3 linked regions of the Lepisosteus oculatus genome follow. The protein of the gene in region 1 interacts with the protein of each later gene in a biochemical or structural test. Links are inferred from orthologs where the notes say so. Each region holds a gene or a part of one and is shown on either strand. Other genes may lie near its edges.

Region 1 (8,011 bases):
CCAAATTTTACGGTTCACTGTCACTTCAGTTTTCTTTGCAGATGCCAATGCCTGCTTATTCAGTTCGATACCACTTTTTTGAAGGAAAGGACCTGGGAAAATACCATCTCGCTTCATTTAAAAAGAATCAAAAGCCACATGCTGCAGTCTATGGGTACTGAACATCTTTTGTAAATTATTTTCAAATTCACCAAATGACCATATTCAAATATTTGTACACTCCACTGTTTGAGGATGTTTTGGCTGCACAATGCTCTCCAGTCTCCTGCCTCTCTTCTCACATGTAAAGCAAAACAGGCTCTCGTAAAATCTCTCTTTTCCGACTGACTGTCTCTCTGGAGCAAAGCTGTGCATCCGATAAGACACTGCAAACATTCTTCTAGAGTGTTGCTTTTGAGGTTATAATTTTAATGTTCATGGTTATTTTAAGATCAATACCTAAAGGGATCACTGCCTTGTCTCTTTTGAAGTCTGGAATTTACAGCCTCTACTCGGTTGAAGTAATTACCATCAGTAGTCAACTTCAAATAATCCCTTCTGCTCGCTTGGTATTAAAGTTGGGTGTTTATGTAACTTACTACTCACAGGCCTGCAGATAAAAACAAAATTATCACGTGCACTGAACAGCACAGTGATTAGGGTATCAGCACATACTATGGATTGATTTAAGAAGGGTGATTTAGTTGTAGATCTGACAACTGGTCTGAATAATGGTGTTCATCTTCCCCTTTAGGGATATGTACAGTACTTATGGTACAGGCCTTTGAGGAATAAATGATGATTTGCAGCACCACACTGAGAATTACCATGAATGCACCCCCACAACAATTCTATGCTGTATAATACATTGTTAAAAGTTTTTAAAAAGTTGCATTTCCATTTTAATCTCAGCTTAATTCTGTAATGCATTATGCTTAAACCTTATCCTCATTGTACTCAGCCAATTTCAGAAATGAGGCACTTAACACTGCATCTTCAAAATCAAGTCACACCGGAAAAGGAGGAAACTTTCAGTATTCAGAAATCTCAGTGTTCCCTGCACTCTCTCCACTGATATACACAACAGGTGACCTGGACAGAAATGATTTCAGGGAGAACTGGAACTAAAGGCATTTTTATAGCTGTATCTCTGGGATGAAATGGCAGCTTTCCAAATGGATACAATTTAGAAGAGCAAACTGAAACATGGGGAGTGAGGGTACAGCTGAATGTTAAGTACTTGGCACGGAGGGAGAATTTAACAGGCAACTGAAAAAATTATGATGAGAAGAGACACTTCAGGAATCAAAGATAAAAATAAGTGCTTACATCCTTTTTTTAAAACAAAAAGTGATTGACCCAATCAACCTTGACAAACCATTTAATCTTTTTACGGATGACTAGGGTAATGCATGCAATCACACCTCACAACTTTTCTGTTTAAAAAATAAAATAACTACATGGGTCACAGTGTGCTATTTTAAACATGTTTAAGATCTGTGTTTTCAATTATCTTGAAGCCTGGAGAACTTCTTCTAAAACCCAGATTTCTTCACTTGAGCTGCACATCGACAGGCAAGATGTAGTGCCAATTTGCTTGCATTACACTTTAAATCCATACCAAACCTTTCATCTATGATAAATGTATGATTTCATTATGCAACTGCTTTAACTAGGCCTGAATTGGAATGCATTAAAAAATGGCACTGGAAAATAAGGAATGCACATCACTGACCTGGAGCTGCAAGGAGAGAGATAGTTTGCAAAGATTCCTCTCTTTACTAATTCCTGTGGGGATCCATACTTAGCCATACACAATAGGCAACTTCCAGAATATAAGTAACAGAAAACAATTAAAGAGTTCAAACTAATCCCATTAGGTCAATTAAGGACTTAATTATGTAAGAAAGACCTCAACTGGAACACAAACCAGCGGGTGGGTGAGTCATCAAGACCAGGGTTTATTCAACTCTGTATTAGACATTATATGGCATGCCACTGCGGAACATGAACCTACATTATATATTAGATATTATTTTTTCCCCCAAAAAGCTGCAGTTCTGAACAAGTTTGGCAAAAACTCTGCATTCTCCTCTTAATGTTAGGAAGATAAGTCAAAATAAGGTAGAGCAAAGGATAAGATAACAGACAACAAACCTTGTCAATCGCAGCTGACAGTTATTTAAGTATGCGCTTTTAATCCAGATTGTGGCTGAAAATAATGCAGGAGAAACGGCAGAGATTTGGGCGAGCTCTCATGATGCTTGTCTAGTGCCCACACCTCGCCTAGTGCAGCTTTTAACACTGAACATTAATGCCTCAACGACTGTCACAGTGGGATTTACATTCAGACAATCTACTGGGTAATGTTATTTTTATTACATAATTTCCCGGCATACGATGTATTCTTCACAATTTCGTGGAAAGATGACATCACGCATCTCAGTCTTTAATATTAAACTAAGGAGCTCTGACATCTATAACATAGAATAAAAATATGTGGTCATACGAACTGTCTCAAATTAGACAAGACCCGATACACACTTCAACACTCACCGGTATCCTCATGATGTTTGAGAGCAGGGAATGATTTATTAGGATTTCTGTATTGCATGGCGTACATCGTGTAGCCCAGCTACAAGCTCACAGGCTATGTAAGCTGAAATCTCCTTTAATAAAATAGAACTTCCCCACTCGTATCCGATACATCCAGTGTCTCTTTAAAACACTCTCAAAGCTTCGACTGTTTTAATTTTAACTCGGAATTCCTGGTGAGACTGACAACACGTACAGAAATCCGGGCAACCACAGCTAGCTGGTTATTTTACAACAGTCAGGGTGTATATTATATCTAAAAATAAAAATAAACTTAGAAATAACAAATCTTTATTGTTTTAGTATAATTAAAAAGGCCCATATCCTGAAAGTAAGTTTGAACATCAGCCACCCAGTGCCAATAATATTTACCACCAAAGATAGCTTTGTCTCCCTTTTCTATTAATATGCACACACGTAGTATTCTAACCTTGCCCCCAAACGCTCCGTCTTTGTAAAGAGCCGCGTTTTAAAATGCAGACAGTCGATCACGAATTAGCGTTACTTACACAAAATACTATCATTATTAAAATGAAGTGCCACCTACCTTTAGCAAATTAGACGTCGCCATGTTCCCTCAACTTATCCCCTCGCGCAGCCTCGCGAGATTTCCGAAGGCTTTAGTTACCAAGGGGTCCTGAGAGATGGAGTAATGTTGAGATACAGTCGGCAAAGTTTTTAAAATATAAATAGTCCCTTTATAAATTACAGTTTATACTATTCCATATTAAGTTCGTTATCGGGCACTGATTATGTGGTGTAGTGGAACGCATTCAATTGTTATTTGCAATCCCTTTTTTAATCATTGGCCTTCAAAACACGAACGCAACTCACTGGAACCGTGTCATGTATTTGAGTGGATGCTAAACTTAGCTTCGCCGAACTAAGTCGATCCATACAAGGGTATATCACATGACCGGGAAACAGTACAGAATAGACAGTTCAAGAGAAAAAAAAACAGCGTAAGAAAGATTCCGAGTTGGAGCTGTGTCCATTAACTGCAATGACTATATTATCCAGAGCCTGGCTTGTGTATTGCAGGGGCAGAAATTATACAATTTCAAACAGACCCATAAAACCTATAAATGGTGTGAACAGAGAGGCATGCAGAAGTGCTACTGATCCAATAACAAGGTGGTCGAGGAACCTGTGACTTGTGTAGACGAATTGCAGCTACAAAAACATGTTTTGGTTGTTCCTCACACTTTTGTGCATTAGCTCGTACACGCAAATTTTGCTAAGATGAAGTCATCAGTGACAAGAACCGAAATGGGGAGACGTTTTTTTTCCCAAGTTTAACTTCACATGATTATGAAAATACCAGATTGCACAAATTGTTATTTGATGTTGTCCACTAGGTGGCACTGTTGTATTAAATGGTGTGCCGGTATCCAAGAAACAGGGTTATTGCTAAAAGAAGTCTTTAAAGTTTTTTTCAACAATGAATTTATCTTCCGTTTTTTTAACTTAGTTACTGTGTACACACTTTTTTTATGCCGTTACATTTTTTTTTACCTGCCGCAGCAGTCCTCAATTCTAGGAACTGTTCATTTTTTACCGCAGTGAGGGCCAAGTTTTTTTTTTTAGATCCTCCTCTTCCTTCAAATCCTGCTGTGAACAAAACAGTTTCCCAAAGTACACAAACTATTAAGGATCATGCGGAAGACAAAAACAAAAAGTGTTCCGAAGTTTTTCCTTACCGATAAACCTTTTCAGTCCAACAATACACTCTGTAGAGAAAATGGCTCTTAAAAGAAGCAAGCTTCTGCGGTAAGTTTGCTTTTCAATTATTTCATTTTCAGGTGAACAATTTTTACACTTTGCGCCTTTTATAGAAAATGTAAAACAATTCTAAGTAATTTATAAAACCTAAAGTTGAATTAAGTATTGATCTCATACCCACTTTTATTATTATACTTGACATACTTCCACACCTAATTAATATTTCAGTTATGCAGTAATGATTACTGGACTTTAAAATATAATGATTAATTAGCCTTTATTCTGTAGGTAAATGGTTTTGAGACATAGTTGTTAATCTTACTTTATAGACACCTTCAATATCTATTTTCAAATTCATGTTTAAGAGTCTCACGAGATTCTGTATCTCTGGTTAGCGCTGAATAATTTATATGTCTCTTCTCACTTGGTATTACATGGTACCCATACTAGGGGACACTACAGTATATGCTTTTTTAAAATAATATGTTGTAGGGCAAAAAAATAAATATTGCAGAAACCTGTTTTACACAACCACATCAAATTGCAAGCATATTGCACCTTGGTAAAGTATTATATTGTGTAAGCTATTGATCAGCATATCCCAGATATAAATCTACTTTAAATGTTCATAGGAATTAATAATCCATTTTTTAAACAAAACGTTAAGGTCAGATATTAATACCTAGAATTTGGAATAACGTGTTACATCATGTGTGATGTGGATTCAGTCTTGGTCTCTGAGTGTCCTAAATTATAAAGAACTAAAAAATCCATCGAAACCAATAAAATGCTGGCAGTTCATTTTTAATGTACATGATTATGCAAGCATTTTTTAAATCCATTTAGAAAACTCTAATCTCCAGGACATCCTTTACACATCACAAGCTGCATGATGCTATAGTGTTATCACTAAATATAGCTGTTTTACTAGAAATGTGAACAGACAGACAGAGAAATGTTACTTCAGCAGAACGAAATATAATGTGGACAACAATCATTGTAGTTCAAATAACTGAAAAAAAACAAATAGATTACAAAGTAACTACAGTATAGCAGTTTAACTTTTTAATTGGCTTCCATTCAAAGCATCTTCCATCTAATGAGGAAAAGTTTTACATGAAAGAGAAAAAGTGCACATTTAACAGTGGTCTGTGAAATACAGAGGCAGTAGTATTTCCTCTAGACATTACTGTTGGTTTAGAGTTTTTAATGATATTAAAGTTGTGTGTAATCTATTAAATACAGTCACATGATGATCTCAATCTAAGCACATTTGTATAAGCAATAATTTAAAGTTGATCTAATCAGTGAACAACACACAATCATGCATATCTTCTTTATGCAAGTTTTCAAGCAAGTAAAAACACCATCTGCTTAAGGCAACGTTCTTGGCAAGCCTTGGAAGACACAAAAAGGCAACATTCACAGAGTGTAGTCCCTACAACACTGAGGGATCATTGCACTCTCATTAGCCATTAAAGTCCCTTAAATTACATTCTCATTTTCATTCTTACTGTCCCAGAATCTGAAACATTGTTCTTTGTAGGCGAACATCGTCCTAAAACACAAAATACGTTTAGGCCTGTTTCTCATTAGTTCTAGTCTCTGGCTACCTAAAGTTAAGTTATACTAGGACTAGGGCTTCTGGAGTCTGTGAAACCGTACCTCAAAGCCAAAAATGCACTGCTTTAAATCTCGCACTTACAAGGGATAGAGACATTCTGAACGCAATTCCCTTTTTTCCACCTATTTGAATATAACATTGGCGCAACAATACATTTCCCTTTAAAATAACATATCCTCAGGTGTGGGATAGATACACTCTATAGCCTGTTGGTCGAAGGCTGCATTTAGGTGCCTTGAGTGTACAAATAATAGAGCAGGAGATGCACAACCTGGAGTTTTGGAGGACAAGAGGCTTTATGGTTTTCTTTCCACCTGTGCTCTTAAATTCAAACAATTGGACTCCTTGTTTTCCTTAAGTGGAAAAGTTGAAGCCTCTCCTTCGTCTTTGGAGTTTTTTTTTTAAGGAGAGTTTCTAAAACCTGCTGGACAGCAACTCCTGTGGATTGGAGTTGGGCTCCAATCTTGCTGATCTAAACCTGGCGATACTGTCAGCCATCTTGGGTTAGGAATCCCCAAGGGGCAGTGTGTAATCCACACTGGCTGGGAGGTTTCCTCATTGTGTAGTGCAGCAGCCACCCAAGTGGTGCTGTGAGCTGCAGGCAGTAAGGAAAAAGTGCTCTTGACAAGTAGTGCCACATCTGAAAGAGGCTGCTGAGATGGCGTTCTTATTTCTTTTTCAGCATGGAATTAACCTTTACTTGTTCCTACTGCCAATTTTTCTCACAAACCAAAAAGTATAGCTCTATCCTCTTAAAGTTATGCACATGAAACTGACAATTCCTATATAAAAATTGGTTTCACAAGGATCAATGTTTTTACACACAAATTTATCCGAGATTGCAGATTTTTTCACACATTTAATTTTCTACCTTTTTTTCGTGGTTTTAAAATGACTTCCTAATGGCTTTGAATTAAGGGGGAAGGGGGAACACTAACACAAATTGTTTAAATATTCTCTTGGTACTAGACAAGCGACTTTGTTCAAATACATTCTTAGCCCTTTAATTGACATCACAACAGATGCTTCTTGCTTTCAAAGACCTATTGCTGAAGGGAGGCACATTACTATAGACAGTCATTCACAGAAAGGCATTGTTAAATGTACATAAAAAAACAACCTTGGAGTTACAAATCAAAAATGCTCTGTTTTTACTATATTGGTCTTTCAGGCAGCTTCTTTCCCAAAACCTCAGGTTTATTTACAAAATATGCACGCACATAAATGGGAAAAACAAAACCAGCTAGCCTAAAAGAAGTGAATTTGTTCTGGAATTATAGTCAATAGATTCAGAACGTTTGGGAACCACAACGGTGAGCATTTCTTTACACTGTTTATGAAATGTTTTACAACCCAAGTCAAGTGATTAAATACAGGAACAGCATCTTGGGTCAGATCAAGAGGACTGCACCGGGATGGCGTAATCTAAAAGCTTGTTGACAGGACATCACACAGTCTTCTCTGGGCGCACTAAGCTACCCCACGCCGTCGCATTTGCGGTCTTTGGCTGAAGAACAATTCACGTCTGACTTGCTAGCATGGGCACCTCCTTCCAGGTTTTACAGCTTCCTCGGAGGAGTGGACTACGTTTGGAATGAAACCGCTTTTGACACCTTCCCAGTCCTCCTGAATGCTTATGTGCCCCCTCTTCACTCGCTCATAGATGTCTCGGGTGAGGATGGTGAAGGACTCCTCCACGTTCGTGGCGTCTTTCGCCGAGGTCTCTATGTATTTCATCCCGCAAGCCAGCGCAAATCTCTCGGCTTCCTCCCGGCTCACTTGCCGTTGGTGTCCAGCGTCACACTTGTGCCCCACCAGAAGAAACACGATCTCAAAGGGCTGCACGTACATCTTGGATTCATCTAACCAGTCCTTCAGGTGCTCAAAGGACCTCCGATTGGTCAAGTCAAAAACCAGGAGTCCTCCCACTGAGTTGCGATAGTAAGAACGCGTTATAGACCTACAATAATAATAAAAAAAAATAACAGTAACTTTAATCAATCGGAATCTGTTCCTACTGTACATACAGACTACTACTCTGGATTGAAGATGCATAACATTTTGTTTACCTTAAATCCCTAATTGTCCTTT
Region 2 (8,196 bases), on another chromosome or scaffold:
ACTACTCTTTCAGTCACCTCAGTCTCCTCTGCAGCCCACCATAGAGGATAGCATAGAGTGACCGCCAAGATAGCCAATTTGAGTGATCAGAAAAATGAAAATGGCCTGAACTGGCCACTAGCATGCTTTTATTATTTTGTAAAAATTGCTTTTCCTGCACATGAATTGCTTTAATTTTTTCAGCTGGAATTTTCCATCCTTACCATACTTATGGAGGCTTCCCACAATTCAATGAAAGACATGGACCATCTAAGCTGGAAGGCTGTGCTGAGTAAATTATACCAGAGGGAAAGAAAGTTTTAAGGTCTTTGAAGGTTTTGTTTTGAGCTGCTGTCAGTACAGACAGCCATTATATTCTCACTTCAGTTAATCCAATTAGGACTCAGGATGGGTAATGTGTACAGACAGTGTAGCAGAACTCCACAAAAACTTTGGCCCCCTTCACATTTGAAGGCACCCGGCTCTGCTGTTTTGTATCCTTTTTGTTACAACAGATTAGTCTCAGTGCTTTTTGCTTCATGCAGTGTGTGTTTGAGAGAGAGACATTTGACTTGAATGCACTTATGCCTTCTTCACACTGAAACGGATTGGCGTGCAAGGCTTCTAAAGTCTTTCAGCTTTAATCTTCTGCTCTGTGGGCAGCTGAGAGCACACTGAATAAATGAGTTACTTTTTTTTACCTGTGCATCCAAGAGCATAGACTGCCCTTCAATCCCCTTTCACATCTGCCAGATGACTTCACTCCACTTCCAAATGTGCGAGATCACTGCACTTCTGCATCCATGGGACCCTGTGTCCAGGAGTATAGACATCCCATCGCTCCATGGTTTGTACCTCTATGAGTATTTACTCATGCAGAAACAGACACAATGTTATGTTTATTGTAATATCTTTATTATATACACAAATGGGGGTGGTGTAGCATGGTCTCTGGTCTCACACCTGATGTGGGTTTGAGTCCCCCCTGAAGACACTGCTGTTGCACTTTGAGAGAGGTACATAACCCCAGTTCACCCAGCTGTGTAAGTATTGCTGGAGGTAGGCTCTGCAATGGACTGATGTCCAGGAGAGGTGTGGGTGGGGGAGTCACATGCTCTCTAGGCCACCTAACACCACTTAATATCGGCCACACTGGTTCATGAGCTCTGGCCCGATGAGCTTATATGACTTGGATATGGAAATGACCTTACAGCACCTACCTACTTTCCCAAATAATGCATATGAAGTAAAGAAATACAATTTTGTCTTATCTTGGTCCTTGTTCTTGAAATGATGACAACAGGCATCTGTCTCTGCTAGCTGGAGAAAGCTGAAATCTATTCAACTTGAACACACAAACAGCACAGGTGTCTCGAGAGCACAGAACTGCACGGGCTTAAAGAGCACATCTCTTTGTTTTTCTCCAGATGACACATCTAGAATTCAAAAGGAGGATGAGTTAATGAGTTTCAGATTCAGAGGTAAATTAAATCATTTTCATCCATAGAAGTTCTGTCCTGCATTGTCTGATTAAACACTTTGTTTTTGATCGTTCCTATAGAAGACAGTTATTTTAATTATGGTTGGGATATCATGAAGTCAAAAAATAATTTTTGATAACAAACCTAATTATGCCATTAATATTGTGGTCAAAGTCTCTGCTGATTAAAATTTGCTCTTTGTAATGTAATATTGCATTTTGCAAATTGTGCTGGGACTGTATGAATAATTCACGAACTACTCTAATTCACGAGCTGCTCTGATGCATGCAAAATATTTTTAATCACATTATCACTAGTTCATTAAGGATCTAAAGAATGTCCATCTAAATAGATGTTTTAAATTTTCTTCTTTCAAAGAGATGTCCTCTTTTGTGCCACATGTAGTAAGTAGTGATCAGATTTTAGCATCATGCATCTATATTCTAACCACTTCTTTTAGTTCAGATGCCAAGGTGGAGCCTGAGTCTATCCTGGTATCCTGGCAAGCAGCTAGAACATGGCAGGATATACCCTGCATGGGAGACACAAACACAGATACACACACACTCACACCAGGGCCAATTTTCCCAGGCAAATAACCTACCAGTAGGTCTTTGCACTGTGGGAGGAACCCACACAAGTACAAGGAGAATACACAAACTGCACGCAGACATCGCTCCAGGTTTGGAACTGAGTCCAGGGCCCCAGCAGTACAAGGGCCAATGCTAACCACTGCTAACCACAGCTCCACCTCATGTCATGGAAATCTTTTATTGTATTGTGCATGTATTAAGAGCCTTTCAGCTGCTTGAGAATAACGTAGAATACAAACGAAAAAGCAGCCAGGGCAGGAGTAACATGTTCTTTTATTTTAGGAAGAATGCTAACAACCTCTTTCTGGTAGCATTATGAGCTCACAACTAGTTGTTGAATGTATTGTGTTTTGAAAAGCTCCTCTTCAGGTACTCCTCACATGCTTATGCAAATTGTACTTAAGATTTTTACATTTTATTTTTGTCGTCACTTAAAAAAGATATTTTTGCATCTGAATAGTTTAATAAAAACAAGCTCCTTGTGGCAAACCAGAACCTTTTATATGATATTAGGCTTCAGTGTCTATGAAATTCTTAATATCACATTGAAAGGAAAATGAGCATGCTTTAATTATTTACTCATTTTAGCTTCTTGCTGTTCTTTCTAGTCTCATTACAAAAGATCATTATCTAGTGTGTAGCTTTTCTGACACTCCTGCTGAACCAGGAGCAGAATCCAGAGATGTAATTTCCTCTGTGGCATCTCTAGGCCTGGAAAAAAAATGAAAGATGCCCTGATATTCTCGGAGACTGTGACACAGCAGTGCTGTAGGCAGAAATGAGCCCTAGATCAGTTTTAATGTGATGCCACATTCCGCTTCTCAATTGTGAATTGCATGAACTCATTTAATGATTTTGGAATTGTGCCCTTTCTAAGGTGAACACAAACCACATTAAATCACGGCAGCCAAACAAGACAGGATTTCCACTGTTTCACTGCAAAGAGACACTGGAAAAGTCTGGACTAATTTATAACAATTTTCTGTCAGCCACATCAATCTTGATACTATACTACACCACGAACCCTTTCACACAAAATGGAAACGGTAGTGGTGAGCTCCACACACCCAACTGAAAGACTGTGGGTTCAAATCCCAGGTGGTTATACTCTAGTTGTACTCTTGAGCAAGGTAAACAGGTAGAATCCAGACCAGAGCCACACAGCTCACGGGGCCAGAGGTCATCCTGGTTTCTGTAGCGTTCCAAGGATGAGAGAGAACTTCTGTCAGGGAGGACCGGAGTAACTGGTGTTACATCATGCCCCTGGAGAACTCACCACCCTTAATCAACTCCTTCAAACTCCAGTGCAGTTTCCAATGAACTAATCAGACACACCTTCTTCCATCTGCCTATTTAAACCAACCTGACACACTACTCCTTGCTCAGTATTGGGTTTTACCTAGCTAGAGCTGCATTGTATCTTGTTCTCTGTTTTGCAAGATTTCTAGGTTTTTGGCACTGACCCCTGGCTTTGTCTCTGACTTCGTCTTCTGGATCTTGACTTGGTTATTGTGGATTTACTGGTTTTTTGACCCTGGCCTGACCTCCTGACCCATGATTTTGGAGAAACTCCTGCTGGTACTTTTGAGTTCAGAGGATTCTGCTTCTTCTGCACCGTAACAACTGGGGTACAGTGCCTCAGTCAAGGGTACCACAGCAGTGTCTGTAGCAGGGACTCAAACCCACAACCTGTCAGCATAGATTCTCGTCTGCCCTTAAGCACAGTACAATGCGTTCCCCCAGATAACATGAATAAATGCCCCGCTGTATGAATGGGTCAATGAGAATTTGTTCTGACACTGTCCTACCTGGGAATATAAAGGAATGAGTGATCCATGAAAGTGTGCCCAGGTGTATAAACATACAGCACCCAGACAGAGCTGTGGGACTGTCAGTGACCTCATACTGGAATGGGGCTGGGGCCCATCTGGAGGTGCAGACATGTTTCTTGTCCAGCAGTGTCTGTAACCACAATGCTCCTACTGGTTCTGCTTCATGGAAACAGACAGCTGTCCTTACCCACCCCTCATTCACAGAAGGGAGCCTAGCAAGGAAGCCCATGCTGAAATGCTCAAATGCTGAAACCCTAGTTCTTCTCTATCATTCTGTTCATTTAAGGATGACATAAATATGGGAATCAGTCATGCAAATTGTTGATAAAGATTCTATAGAAATGTACATACTGTAGTACTTCCTTTTGAAGACTCATGCATAAGCACTGGCTGAATCACTGTCTAACACTGTAGCTCAATGAAGTCCAGGCACTTTCTCCATCTAAGGCCATAGGACTATATTCTTCTCTGCCAGTCTCTGGGGTGGGGGTCCTGGACTCAGCTGCTGCAGCCACATACACCATGTGACAGGCAGCCAGGCAAATCTATGAGCATATTGTGGTGGACCCTGGGTTTGGTTTCAAGTGTGTTTTATGTGTGGTGTCTGCATGTTGTTTGGATGGGTTTTCTCCTATAGTCCAAACACACGCTGTCCAGGTTAACTGGTGTCTCTGTGATTGTCCTCTGTATGTGTGTGTCCTCTCTCTCTCTCTGTGTGATAATGACCTGAGTCTATCATTGTCTTAATTTGATCATTTTAACAGATCTTTAAGCTATTTAATGATGTTGATTTTAATTAGACAATAAAACCTCTGGACAAACCGGGCCTCCAGCACTGGAACGGGAGACCTTTGTTCTGAGGATGATTAAACGGTTTCTGATGATACCGGATAAATACACGTAATAGAAACAGCGGAACTATTGTTTAAGTGTCGCGTGTGGTGGTCGGACGATTTTACCAGAGGGATCAGAAACGGCACTTCCGTCTCTGGTAGTGGTGTTTTCTAGAGTTTAAAGCTGTGAAATTTCCAGAAAATCCATATCCTAATCACCTTTTTTTTTTTTCGGGAGTTGTTTCTAACCGACATAGTGATCTGCGGCTTGAGCAGCGGACAGACCTGTGCTTGTGGTCGGTGTTTAGTAATGGTGTAATCCGGAACGCTTTCTTCAGAGACAGCAGGTAAACAGAAAAAAAAAAACAAGGAAGGCGTTAAAACGCTTTCGCGAAAGCCAGTTTGAACCGAACAGAAGAATTGTGAATGTGTTCCGCGATGAGGTTCGCTAAATGTCCCTCTGGTGGATTCCGTTTAAAATGTTTGAATCAATAGTTTTTTTTTTGTTGTTGGTGTAAAGGCATTCTCTGGATGTTCTCGTTTGTTGTATCGGTATTTACTGGAAGTGAGCTGTTTGGAATGTAGTGATATGACCGGCATCTTCTGTTTTTTACAATTTCTGTCTTGACAGCTGTATTGTAGTGTGACCCGAAGGACATGGGTGTCACTGTCCTTTTGAAAACGTTGATATATTCTTAGGAACTGGGAAGCTGATTAAGTATTTGTTGTGATTCCTTCCGCAATGGACTGGATGATACCGTATTGTGGATTGTTTGCACTGACATCCCGGTACAAGCAATTCCTGAAGTTTGATGTGAAATGAATATTAACAAATGAAGTGTAATTTCAAATAATGAGGTGTCTATGGATTTAGTTAGAATCGTGAATGCTCTTTTTTCCTTAGCGAGTCAAAACGCATTATCACGCGGATTTAAAGTCCTTGTTATATTTTATAAGCTAGTGAATTCTAATAAGTAATAATACATGTTTTATTTAACCTGGAGGTGTATGAGAGTTAAATTGTAGGCTCTTATTCAAGAGGCCTAGTCACTGCTTCCTTCAAGGTGTTTTTTCCCCAGATTGCTGGCACTGCTCCAGAATGTGGTGTTAGTTTTATGGAATGAAAGGGTTAGTATTTTCTAAGCAGTCCGTGGTTTATAGATAACCTGCAAAACTAGCAGAATTGTGGCTATCTTGCTACCTACAGCAGTGTGCCACTACATACAGATGTATGAGTTCTCCTAACTGCTGCAATGCAGGCTCTGGTATACTGTGGATTTCAGGAATTCTGCAAGATAGGGGCTCAGTGCAGGATTGCTCTTGTCTGCATAGAGGGACTGCAGAACCGCTGTGTACGGGTTTCTCTGGGAGCCTTTTTAGAGGTACACCAGTGCCTTTTTAATTGACTGTTCAAGTGACCATAATAAAAATGTTATAACTCAAAGGATTATACTTCAGGTTGTTTCTTCTAGATTTAAATCTATACTAAACACATATGTTGAGTAATCAGATTTTTATCATCTGTAATTAAGATAAATCTTACTATTGTGCAGTTCTACATATGTGCTGCTACATTTATCTTTTTTTTAACTTTATTCTATCTTGGCTCTTCAGATTGTCTTCTCTGTATTGGACATTTCTGGCCTAAAGTGAAATTCTGGGACAGGGTTAATGGGGAGGGGTTGCAGAGTCCTCACTAGCTCTAGGGAAATTCTCTGGTTTGAGAACCAGTACAGTGAATTTGTCAGTATTTCACAGATCATGATATAGATGGAGTTATAAAAACCACAGTCTTTCATGTTCGTAAGTGACTCTAACAATGAAGGGATAATGCTGTGAACAATGAACTTTCTTATAAAAGAGTTATCAGTTTTTGCATAAATTATTCAGTGATATTTTCCCATGATAGTAAATTTAACCCACAATACATTTTCAGACATCACCTTTTTAAAGAGGCCTTCTTGGTTTTCATGCCTGGTTGTCCTGCAGTATGAAGAAGAAAAATAAAAACTGAAAAACGGATTATGGCTCAACTTGCCACGTTTGGAGTGGAAGGAAGAAATACCATAGCAAATGTCAATCACAGATCGGAATCACAGCAGAATCATTTTCTGGTGTGGAGGTGATGTCTGGGGATTCGGAACTTTAATGGGGTGCTGTTCTATTACCCATGAGCCAGGCACTTTGCTCAGATTTTCAGTAAAATGCTGCACTGGATAATTAGGTCCAAATTTAAGATTTTGTAGCTAAAACTGTCTTCCAAGTAAATGAATAATACCTACCCCTGGGAGGCTTTGTCCCAGTCCTGTAGTTAACAAGGGGGCTGGGCTGTTTGTGACAGCTGTTGGAAACGGAGTGGGGGAGGGGCACACCTTTGGCTCAGACATGTATAGGAATCGCTGTGACATGTGATACAGGGCATCTCATGAAGCAGGAAAGAGCACCGGGGGAGAGCAGTGTGCTGCAGGACGTTCAAACAGCGCTGCTGAGGGCAGCGCTTTGCCCAGGGAAGCCCAGTCTGTCCCTGATTGCTGTACAAATGGCCTTTTCTAACTATGTTAACTATATTTTCTTCGTGCCAGAGTCTGTGTGGATGTGTTTACGCATTAAAGAAATAGAAGAGCTGCTTTCAGATACTCCATCTGAAATGGATCTCTTATCCCATGACTTTTAAAGTTTCCACCACACTATGTAAGAGTGTTAGTGTGGGGAAGGGACAAAGGAGAGAGGACAGAGGAGGTCAAAGAACTGGTTTATTTGATCTGTATTTCCTGTTATTTCACAGAGTGGCTCTCTGCTGTATTGAGCCGTACAGATGCTCATTGACCACCCCAGCAGACATGGCTATTGACAAGACTTCTCAGAAGTCTCTTACAGGCAGTACCTAGAAGAACAAGTTCTCAGTACACGACTTTATTTGCTTTGTCAGCAAGGCACTAGAATGCAAAATCGTTTGATTCCAGTCAATTCATAACTTTTGTGATGATAATTAATTATAATAATACATAACCAGTTTTTATGTGTTCCACTTTTAGACATTGGAGAGAAAACGTGCACCCTCTGGCCTACTTTGTTTGGGATGCTGTATCAGGGCATTAGGAAACGTAGTTATCGGGAAATATAACAGACTGCTTCGTATTGCAGTCCAGAGCATTTCCCATATATTGGAACAATTAAATTATAAAGAAGGACCAGCCAAAAACTGTTATTCAGTTAATGAACTGTTCTGCTGTTATTTATTGATTGGGAATTGGCACCCCACATTCATTAATAGAGTGGAACGGAGTTTAGCCTGAGTTGTCTCGATTAACTCAACTGGATTATGTCATATATTTGAAGGATTGTTGCAAATCTTGTTCCGTCTGTAAAATCGCTGTAGTGTTACTCTAGCCATTTTTCTAGCATAACTTGACTAACATTGCCGTGGTCTCATCCTTCTGTGATGGGTAATGATAACATTTGAAAAAGAAAAGGCACA
Region 3 (7,544 bases), on another chromosome or scaffold:
GCACCGGGAGCCTCGCGCCCGGGATATCAGGTTCCGAGGCAGGACGCTGGCGGGTGGAGAGCAGATTAGCGAAAAGCTCCAAGCAGGCGGGTGTGAGGTGACGCCTGGGGACCGACGGAGGAGCGAATCTCGGGAAGAGAATTCCCGGCGGGCGGAGGGTTACCTTCCCGGTCTCGCGCTCGAAGTCCACGTACTCCCGGCTGGGAGCCTGTCGCTGGTCTCCGTGCAGGTTCGCCGGGAAGAACTGCAGGGAGAGGTTGGTTCCTGTCGCCACAAAAGCCTTTTAGAAAAATCAATACAAACAGGATCAGAAGCTGAACGAGACATAAATTATGCAGTCAAGTCATTTATTTTTTACATCACTGAGAGCCACGAGCCAGCAGCCTTCAGAGAGCACCAGAAAAACACTCCAGAGTCATCATTTTCTTTTTAAATATCGAGTTTCAAACATCTGATTCTATTTTACCAACATTCACCACTGGCTGCAAGGGACACAGGATACTGCCGTAAGAAAAAAAAAATCAATATATTATTTTAAATTAGTCCTTCTGCTGACATTAATAACCGGGAGTCTGAAAGCCTGGCGCTGTGCTCGAAGTATGATCCAGACTGCGCATCTGGAAATAAAAACGTATACACTTCTTTTTTTTTAATATCACTTTGAAAAACCCCCTAACAAATCTAGCTTTGTTTCTTGTAATCGAACGTACCTGAATCCAGCCCTTTTGAGTCTGCAATCTGGTGATTTGTGTTCAGAAAAAGAGGTGTGGAAATCATTTAGCTTTAACCTAGATGTTTTTTTTTTAATAAACAGGGGGCATCTCTCAAGGGAACAAAGAGCAAACACTAAGCAGACCTGTCCTGTATAATGAAAACTGGATTTAATATACGTCAGTAGGGAAGTGTGGCAGGTTCATTCAGTAGGCTTCACAGCTTGTTCGCGGCAAGTCAGCCCCCTGTGGATAATTATCTCTGAGAAAGAGCAGGGGCTGTACTTGAAACAAAAGACCACAGTGACACGGTGCCACCTCGCTCGGAGCCGGAGTGGCCAGGGCGCTGGGCTTTCAGAGCGAGAAGTCGACTTTCACACTTCCACGCTAGGTCATCTTTCGCTCTCAGTAAAGAAATGGAGCTCCGAGTAGCATTTGCATTAAGCAAATCGCTTTCATTTACTGCCAGGCTTTATCCAGCAGTACTTTCTTACTTTCTCTCCAATTCAGTGCGCTTTCAGATACACAGCGCCTGAACAAGAACTGTTGATCATTACGTCATCCACGGAGTATTGATTAAAAAAAAACTCTCCCTGGAAATATTCTTCATCCAGAGACAAAAGTCAATCCAATAATGCCGGTTTATATTAATGGCTGCAACATGAAACTAGGATCAACATCGGGACACGGCAGGTTTTTAAAATACTTCAGCGGCAGGTTGCTGAAGACTCTCGTTGTGCCACTTAGACACATCTGGACATGATCCGCTTTCCAATCGCTTCCCCAGTCGCCCCGCGATTCAAAGACTGGTTACTGTGTCGTGTCTCGGAGCGGAAATAAGAGATCCTTAAGAAGCCACGTAAACAAATGTGAATTTCGTTAAATTATTGCTAATAATAATAATATTAGAATTATAATAATAATTACTATTATGATCATAATAGTACACTGTTTACTGTTTCTGGTCCCACAAAAGCAGCCACACCAACCTTCTCGACACCCAGTTATTTTGCACCTATAGCTCATGAGTACAGGGTCCGCACTGGGCCGTCAGATCCGTCAGTCTGGACGTTTCCGTCATGTGTGTGCTGAGCAACACTGTATAATAAAGCTACAGGGGTCTAATTACGAAAGAGTCCTGTAAATATCGAAGGAAGGAGGAGACGAATGATGTGTTAAGACCAGTCCAGACATAATTCATTCATCGAGCCGCCGTCTCGGCTCTTACAAGGAAACAGCGAAATTCTTTTTATTTCCAAGGTTGTGAAAGTTGTGTTAACATTTTCCCGGGCGAATCAGGGTCTTCAGGTCTGTATTCCGATTTTCAAAATCCAGCATCCGCTGGAGGTGCACGGGGAGACGGGTTTAAAGGCAAGCTCACTTACTATTTCTGAACGCCCATCCCGACAGGCGTTCTGGAAACGCGCTTGTCTCTCCTCGTGGGGCCGGTCTCGGAAGCCGGTGTACTTGATCTAGAAGAAGACGGGCAGACGGGCAGAAGAAAAACTCAATCAAAGATGCGCGTTGGCGTCTGCCCGAAAGCCAGCAGGCAGCCCCCTGACCCGTATTTAAATTCTGCGCGATTTCCGCGCTGACAAACAGGGTGCTGTCTCTCTCCCTCACCCACCCCTGCTGCCAGGCGTCTCAGGAGCGCTGAGCTCCCGGCTGGGTCTCTTCCTCGGCACCGCGCTGCGCAGACACGGAGCCAAGCTCCCCGCAGGAAGCGCACGGCATCTGCCTCGCTCAGTCCGTCTCTCCGGCCACATTTCCCACCCTCCCTCCACTGGAGGCTTTTAAAAATAACCTTTGACTCGCGCGGTCTTCTTCAGGATATCCACAAACATTACCAGGAAACCCCGACGCTTAATAAACACTACTAGACAGTCGCCTGAGTACGCACAGAACGAAAGGGTAATGTTAGCAAGCCAGACTACGACGGCTAGACCATTCCCATCGCCCGTTTCAAACAGGAAGTTTATTGCGAAAACAGCACATTTCCACTGATTCAACACAAACACACTCCAGCAGACATCAAAGCTCACGCGGTTAAGTCACATTTAAAAGAGCAAAATCCCACGCTCATCTCCCACCGGGCGCAGGGCAAGACGTACAGCCCCCGTCCCCCAAACTTCAGCGTGATGCTGCACTGAAAGCGAGCATCTTTTCCGCCACTTCAGCACAGATGTGTTCACTGAAATACTTGCTCACCTCGCACTCCCGGCTCAGTTTCCTGAAGAACTCCTCGTTTTCAAACTTGCTCCTCTGATCGGGGACCACTCGGGGCATCTTTACAATTATTCACCCCCCCAAAAAAAATGAGAGGAAAAGAAAACCGATTCGAGCGCCAGAGAAAGCTTTGCAACTCTCCCAGATCCCGCTTCTAAACTTTCTTCCTTCCTCTCGTGTGAGGTAAGGTACAGTCCGCTCTGTGTGAGGGGTTCCAGCGGGGCGCCGCGCTCAGCCCCCCAGTCCGAGAGAGTGTCGGGTCGGTTTGGTGCCTGGCTAGGCTACCCCTCACGTCCAGCGTGTGCGCCCGTCCTCCTTCAACAACGATGCTGGCTCTCCGCGTTTTTTCCCCGTAACCGTCTCTCTGCGCAGCTCAGCTCGAAGTTACTTCCTGGCTCCTCTGAGTCGTACTTACGACTGCACACCCAGGGCTCCCCCCATTCACAATTCTCACTCCGCTCCGCTGTGCGCAGGCGCGCTCCGCCTGGCGTGTCGCCGCGCGCAAGCGTGTCCAGCGCGGCAGCCTGCCTGCTCGAGAGCCGCGCGGGGCTACTACTAATAATTTAATAATAACGTGTGTTCCACCAAGCTTCTGAATCTTCAGAATCGAGATACTGGGCACATTGTGTCTTGGTTTCATTTTATTTAAAGAAAAGATTAATATTTGATTTATTTTTAAAACATTCTGTTTCACGTCTGCTCAGAGAATCTGTAACAAAATCTCTTCTAACGATATGACGCCTTTTAGATGCCAATACATGCTAAGTTTTATTTAGCAAATCTTGTTAAATATTTGTTTCCGAACTCGTATTTTTCTACCATTGTGTTCATGGTCTCAGCGTACTACGGGTTATGTTTTTCGTGCATGCGCTAGAAAAGCATTGGGGGTCTTCCTGAGTTGTTTCTGTGCCATTCGGAAACATTCGTCTTCTAACGAAGTGCGAGACAGCGCGCCTACCTGCCGACGGGGAAAAAAAAAAACGTTATTTACATGTTGAACTCATTCAAATAAAGCACAGGTATCGACAAGCCCGATTTGGTGGAGTGTTCTTCTTTACGCGGCGAAGCATGACAATTTTCGGGTGTTGTGACGGTATTTTGTGTTCCCTTTTACAAATCTTGTGTTATCGTTCATATTGTCGTGTGTTTTCTTGCTAGAGATGCGAAACTGTCTCCCCGACTGTGATCCTCCTAACTGGGCTCTGAGCTCGATAGAGGTGGAGGACACTCTCCTTTGAATGACGTGATTTTCTAACTAAAGCCCTAACAATTATATATAGTGCTTTTCTGCACACTCCACTATACTTTACAGGTAATGGGGATCCCCTCCACCACCACTAGTGTGCAGCCCCACCTGGATGATGAGACAGCAGCCAGAGTGCACCAGTACGCTCCCCACGCACCAGCTCTCAGTGGGGAGGAGAGCAGAGTGATGAAGCCAGTTCAGATAAGGGGATTATTAGGTGGCCATGATTGGTAACACCCCTACTCGTTTCAAGAAACGCCCTGGGATTTTTAATGACCACAGAGAGTCAGGACCCCATTTTTATGTCTCATTTAAACTTTTTAACAGTATAGTGTCCCCGTCATTATACTGGGGCATTAGAACCCACACAGACCACTTTACTGGTCCCATTAAAACCTCTTCCACCAGCAACCTTAGTTTTTCCCAGGAGTCTCCCATCCAGGTACTGACCAGGCTCACACCTGCTGAGCTCCAGTAGGCTGCCAGTTGTGAGCTACAGGGTGACATGGTTGCTAAGGCACTGTGATAGCCTTACAGAACATTCTGGATACGCCTACCAAAGATAATAAGTTACTTAATTGACCACTAAGGGTGGAACAAAAAAAAGACACCAGTATGGCTGTCCAGGAATTGACACAACTGATGTCAGGTGTTGGCAGCAATATCTTAACAGAAATATCAGAAAATGGTCTTCCAATGAGCTGTCAGGTGTGAAATCTAGATCTGCTTTTTCCATGCCACTGTCTTTGGCCCTGTCTCCTGTGAGACGGTGACATCTAGGGCCACACGATGAGTGCAGGAGGTCTGTGCTGTGTTTTATCTGTGGAAAAGGAGAAGTTCCTAAAAGCAGAAGTGTAACTTAGATGTCAGAAGTGTGGAGTTTGCAGTTCTCTTCTCTGATGTCAGAGCGTGTCAGAGACCAGGCGTGTGGCTGAGGCTGCCTGAGATGAGCTCTGCAGCCCCGGGCTTAGTATCTTGGCAAGGCAGAGCTGATTGGATGGAGACAGGACCAGGGTGAAAGACAAGGTCCCGGGGCCCTAAAGCAATCCGTCCTCGAGTTAAATGGGTTTGCAAGGACTCTCAGTCTGACATTGGGAAAAGGCGCCAAAAGATTGTGTCCAGGACTGTATCATGAACATGATGAGAACATCTCATTGAGGTTGCTGACATGTCAGTTTTGGATGTTTTTTTATGAACCAATTTTTCTATCTTTAATATTTTCAAAAGCACAAGAAGAAGATTTCTTTCTGTTGAAAACGTGTTTTTCTTTCTTCACAAGACTGGGTCACTGTCAGAGCTGATTTCCCAAAGGCCGTTAACGAAGTACCATGGAACAGATCTCCCTGGCAGCTGCGCTAACTAGACCTCTCACTACAGCACAGCAGACATTTCCACTTTGTTTTCTCCTGACATGAAAAAATAAGAAGAGCTCAGTTTTTTTTCAGATCAGTGTTTTTCCGGTGATTATTTATTTAAAGATTCCTGACTTAGAAGTATGAAGTAAATCGAGTCTGTGTGCTGCACTTGTGCAGAACAATCTGGAGTTGGTGTTTGAGATGTGTCGGGGGGAGAGAGGGGAAATTAGATTGGATAAAGATCGTGCTGGTACTGAAGAACCGGGCTGTGTGTGTGCACTGGAGGGTAGCGTGTGTCAACACTGATGTGTCTCCTACAGTTTTGTTGTTGTCTGAGATCACTGCTCCTCCAGAAAAATCAGCAATTAGGGAGAGGGTGTGTAGTCCTCACATGACACAGGTGCTGACACGTGGAAACATCATTTTGTCTCCTCAGATGTTTATCCCACCCCCACCCCCCCAGCAAAGGAACCCCCTCGCTTGTTGTTGTATGGTTGCCTTTGGAATTGGAGGCAGCTTGCTTTCTGCAGAATGTTAGGCTGTTGCTCGTGCTGTGTAAGTGGGTCCTCTCCGCAGGCAGCTCGGGGTGGGTGTTGTCCCGCTGTGAAGATGGTCTTGCCAGCTGATCGCAGGAACAGGAAGGGCCAGGGGCAAGCCAGAGTACCTCCTCCTCGCAGCATGGCATGCTCTGGCACTCTGATCTCCGGTCTCTGCTGTTAATAAATCTGTTAAAAGGCGGCCTAGAGCACTGCCAAATAGTGCATGTAAGTGCTTTAATAGCACCACAAAATGCTTATTAATTAATTAACATTTTTGTGGTCTAGAGCACTAGTTTTGACAAAGCACTTAAAAGAGCTGATGCTAGATGTCTGTTTGAATTGTTTTCAGTAGAATGGTTATTGAGCCATTGCTGTCTGTCTGCGTTTCTCTCGCCCTCTTTCTCTGGTTCTCTGCCTCTGGATCCTCACTATAATTTATTCCCTACAGATTGTCATTTGTGAGAAAGTCGCATTTCCATATTAAATATTCCATGAGCCCTAGCCAGACAACAAGAGCTCTTCACTCTCTGCTGACTAAACACCTTCCTTGAGTTTTCTACAGGCCCGGCCGTCATTTATATCACTTTTAAATAATGTTTGTGAAATCAGAAAAAAAAATGTTGTTTCTTCCCAAGCCAGCACTACAATTATCAGAATGTCATTTCAGAATTCGACAAGTTAGAACATAGTTGCTTGAGCTAAAGCTACAACAACAACACAACTTGAGAAATATTCGACATAATAACAGTTTACTTTCCTGATGCACTGTTAGCCTCATGGTGAGCTCTGACCTCACACAAAGCTTTCCAAACCTCGGGTCCACCACCTTGAGCATTCAATAAAGAACCCAGTTTCTTAGTGAAACTGAAAGATTCTTCAGCTAGTTCATTGCCTAGCAGATAAGAAACGAAACTGCTGTGAGACTGTAGTGTTTGTCCGTGGAGTCTCTGTGCTGTGTCTGGTTTATTTATACCCTCTTGCATTGTGTTTCTACACCTCGAATGATATTTAAATATAGCAGAAACATCATCAAAATAAATGAACAGAAACAGTCGTCCTGCATGTCATTTGTCTTCTCTCATGTGTCTCTCCCTCCCCTCGCTGGTCTCTGACTGTGGGGGTCTCCTGTCCTGGCCAGGTCTAGGGGAACACAGACTGCACCCCTTCACCTGGAAAGGCCTTTTGGGGGGCAAACCTGTCCACTAGAATCTGGCCAGTGTGCTGCATTTTTTATTCAAAACCCCAATATCACACATTCCTTTTATTTCAGCATTTTAGAACATGAACTGCTCTCTGGTGTGTCTTGTTATCCAGAACGTGCTGTAGAGCTTGTGTGTGCCTACAGAGCAGATCAATCAAGCAGACTGATCAAGGAGTACCCATCTGTCCTTGTGTTGGGCTGTCCTGGAAGCTGCTGATACTCGGAGCCTTTTCCCTGAACAGACACACGCAGTACTGCTCCTCATCT

The links. The genes of interacting proteins can lie anywhere in the genome.
Region 2: of the proteins of cullin-5 (region 1) and ube2f, one has a biochemical effect on the other in vitro, tested with the Homo sapiens proteins (2 studies listed by BioGRID). The link is inferred for Lepisosteus oculatus from reciprocal best matches to the Homo sapiens genes CUL5 and UBE2F.
Region 3: the proteins of cullin-5 (region 1) and cbfb form a complex in vitro, tested with the Homo sapiens proteins (4 studies listed by BioGRID). The link is inferred for Lepisosteus oculatus from reciprocal best matches to the Homo sapiens genes CUL5 and CBFB.

Annotation. Positions count from the first base shown.
Region 1 is NC_090700.1:10,146,053-10,154,063, forward strand, and holds the start of cullin-5, read right to left. Parts: upstream 3,416-8,011; 5' UTR 3,146-3,415; coding exon 3,122-3,145; intron 1-3,121. Other genes in the region: ras-related protein Rab-39A, read right to left, coding at 7,454-7,880. UniProt on the Homo sapiens protein: Core component of multiple cullin-5-RING E3 ubiquitin-protein ligase complexes (ECS complexes, also named CRL5 complexes), which mediate the ubiquitination and subsequent proteasomal degradation of target proteins.
Region 2 is NC_090707.1:7,789,824-7,798,019, forward strand, and holds the start of ube2f (NEDD8-conjugating enzyme UBE2F), read left to right. Parts: upstream 1-4,827; 5' UTR 4,828-5,065; intron 5,066-8,196. UniProt on the Homo sapiens protein: Accepts the ubiquitin-like protein NEDD8 from the UBA3-NAE1 E1 complex and catalyzes its covalent attachment to other proteins. Together with the E3 ubiquitin ligase RNF7/RBX2, specifically neddylates cullin-5 (CUL5).
Region 3 is NC_090715.1:1,079,220-1,086,763, reverse strand, and holds the start of cbfb (core-binding factor subunit beta), read right to left. Parts: upstream 3,370-7,544; 5' UTR 2,997-3,369; coding exon 2,919-2,996; intron 2,183-2,918; coding exon 2,096-2,182; intron 281-2,095; coding exon 164-280; intron 1-163. UniProt on the Homo sapiens protein: Forms the heterodimeric complex core-binding factor (CBF) with RUNX family proteins (RUNX1, RUNX2, and RUNX3).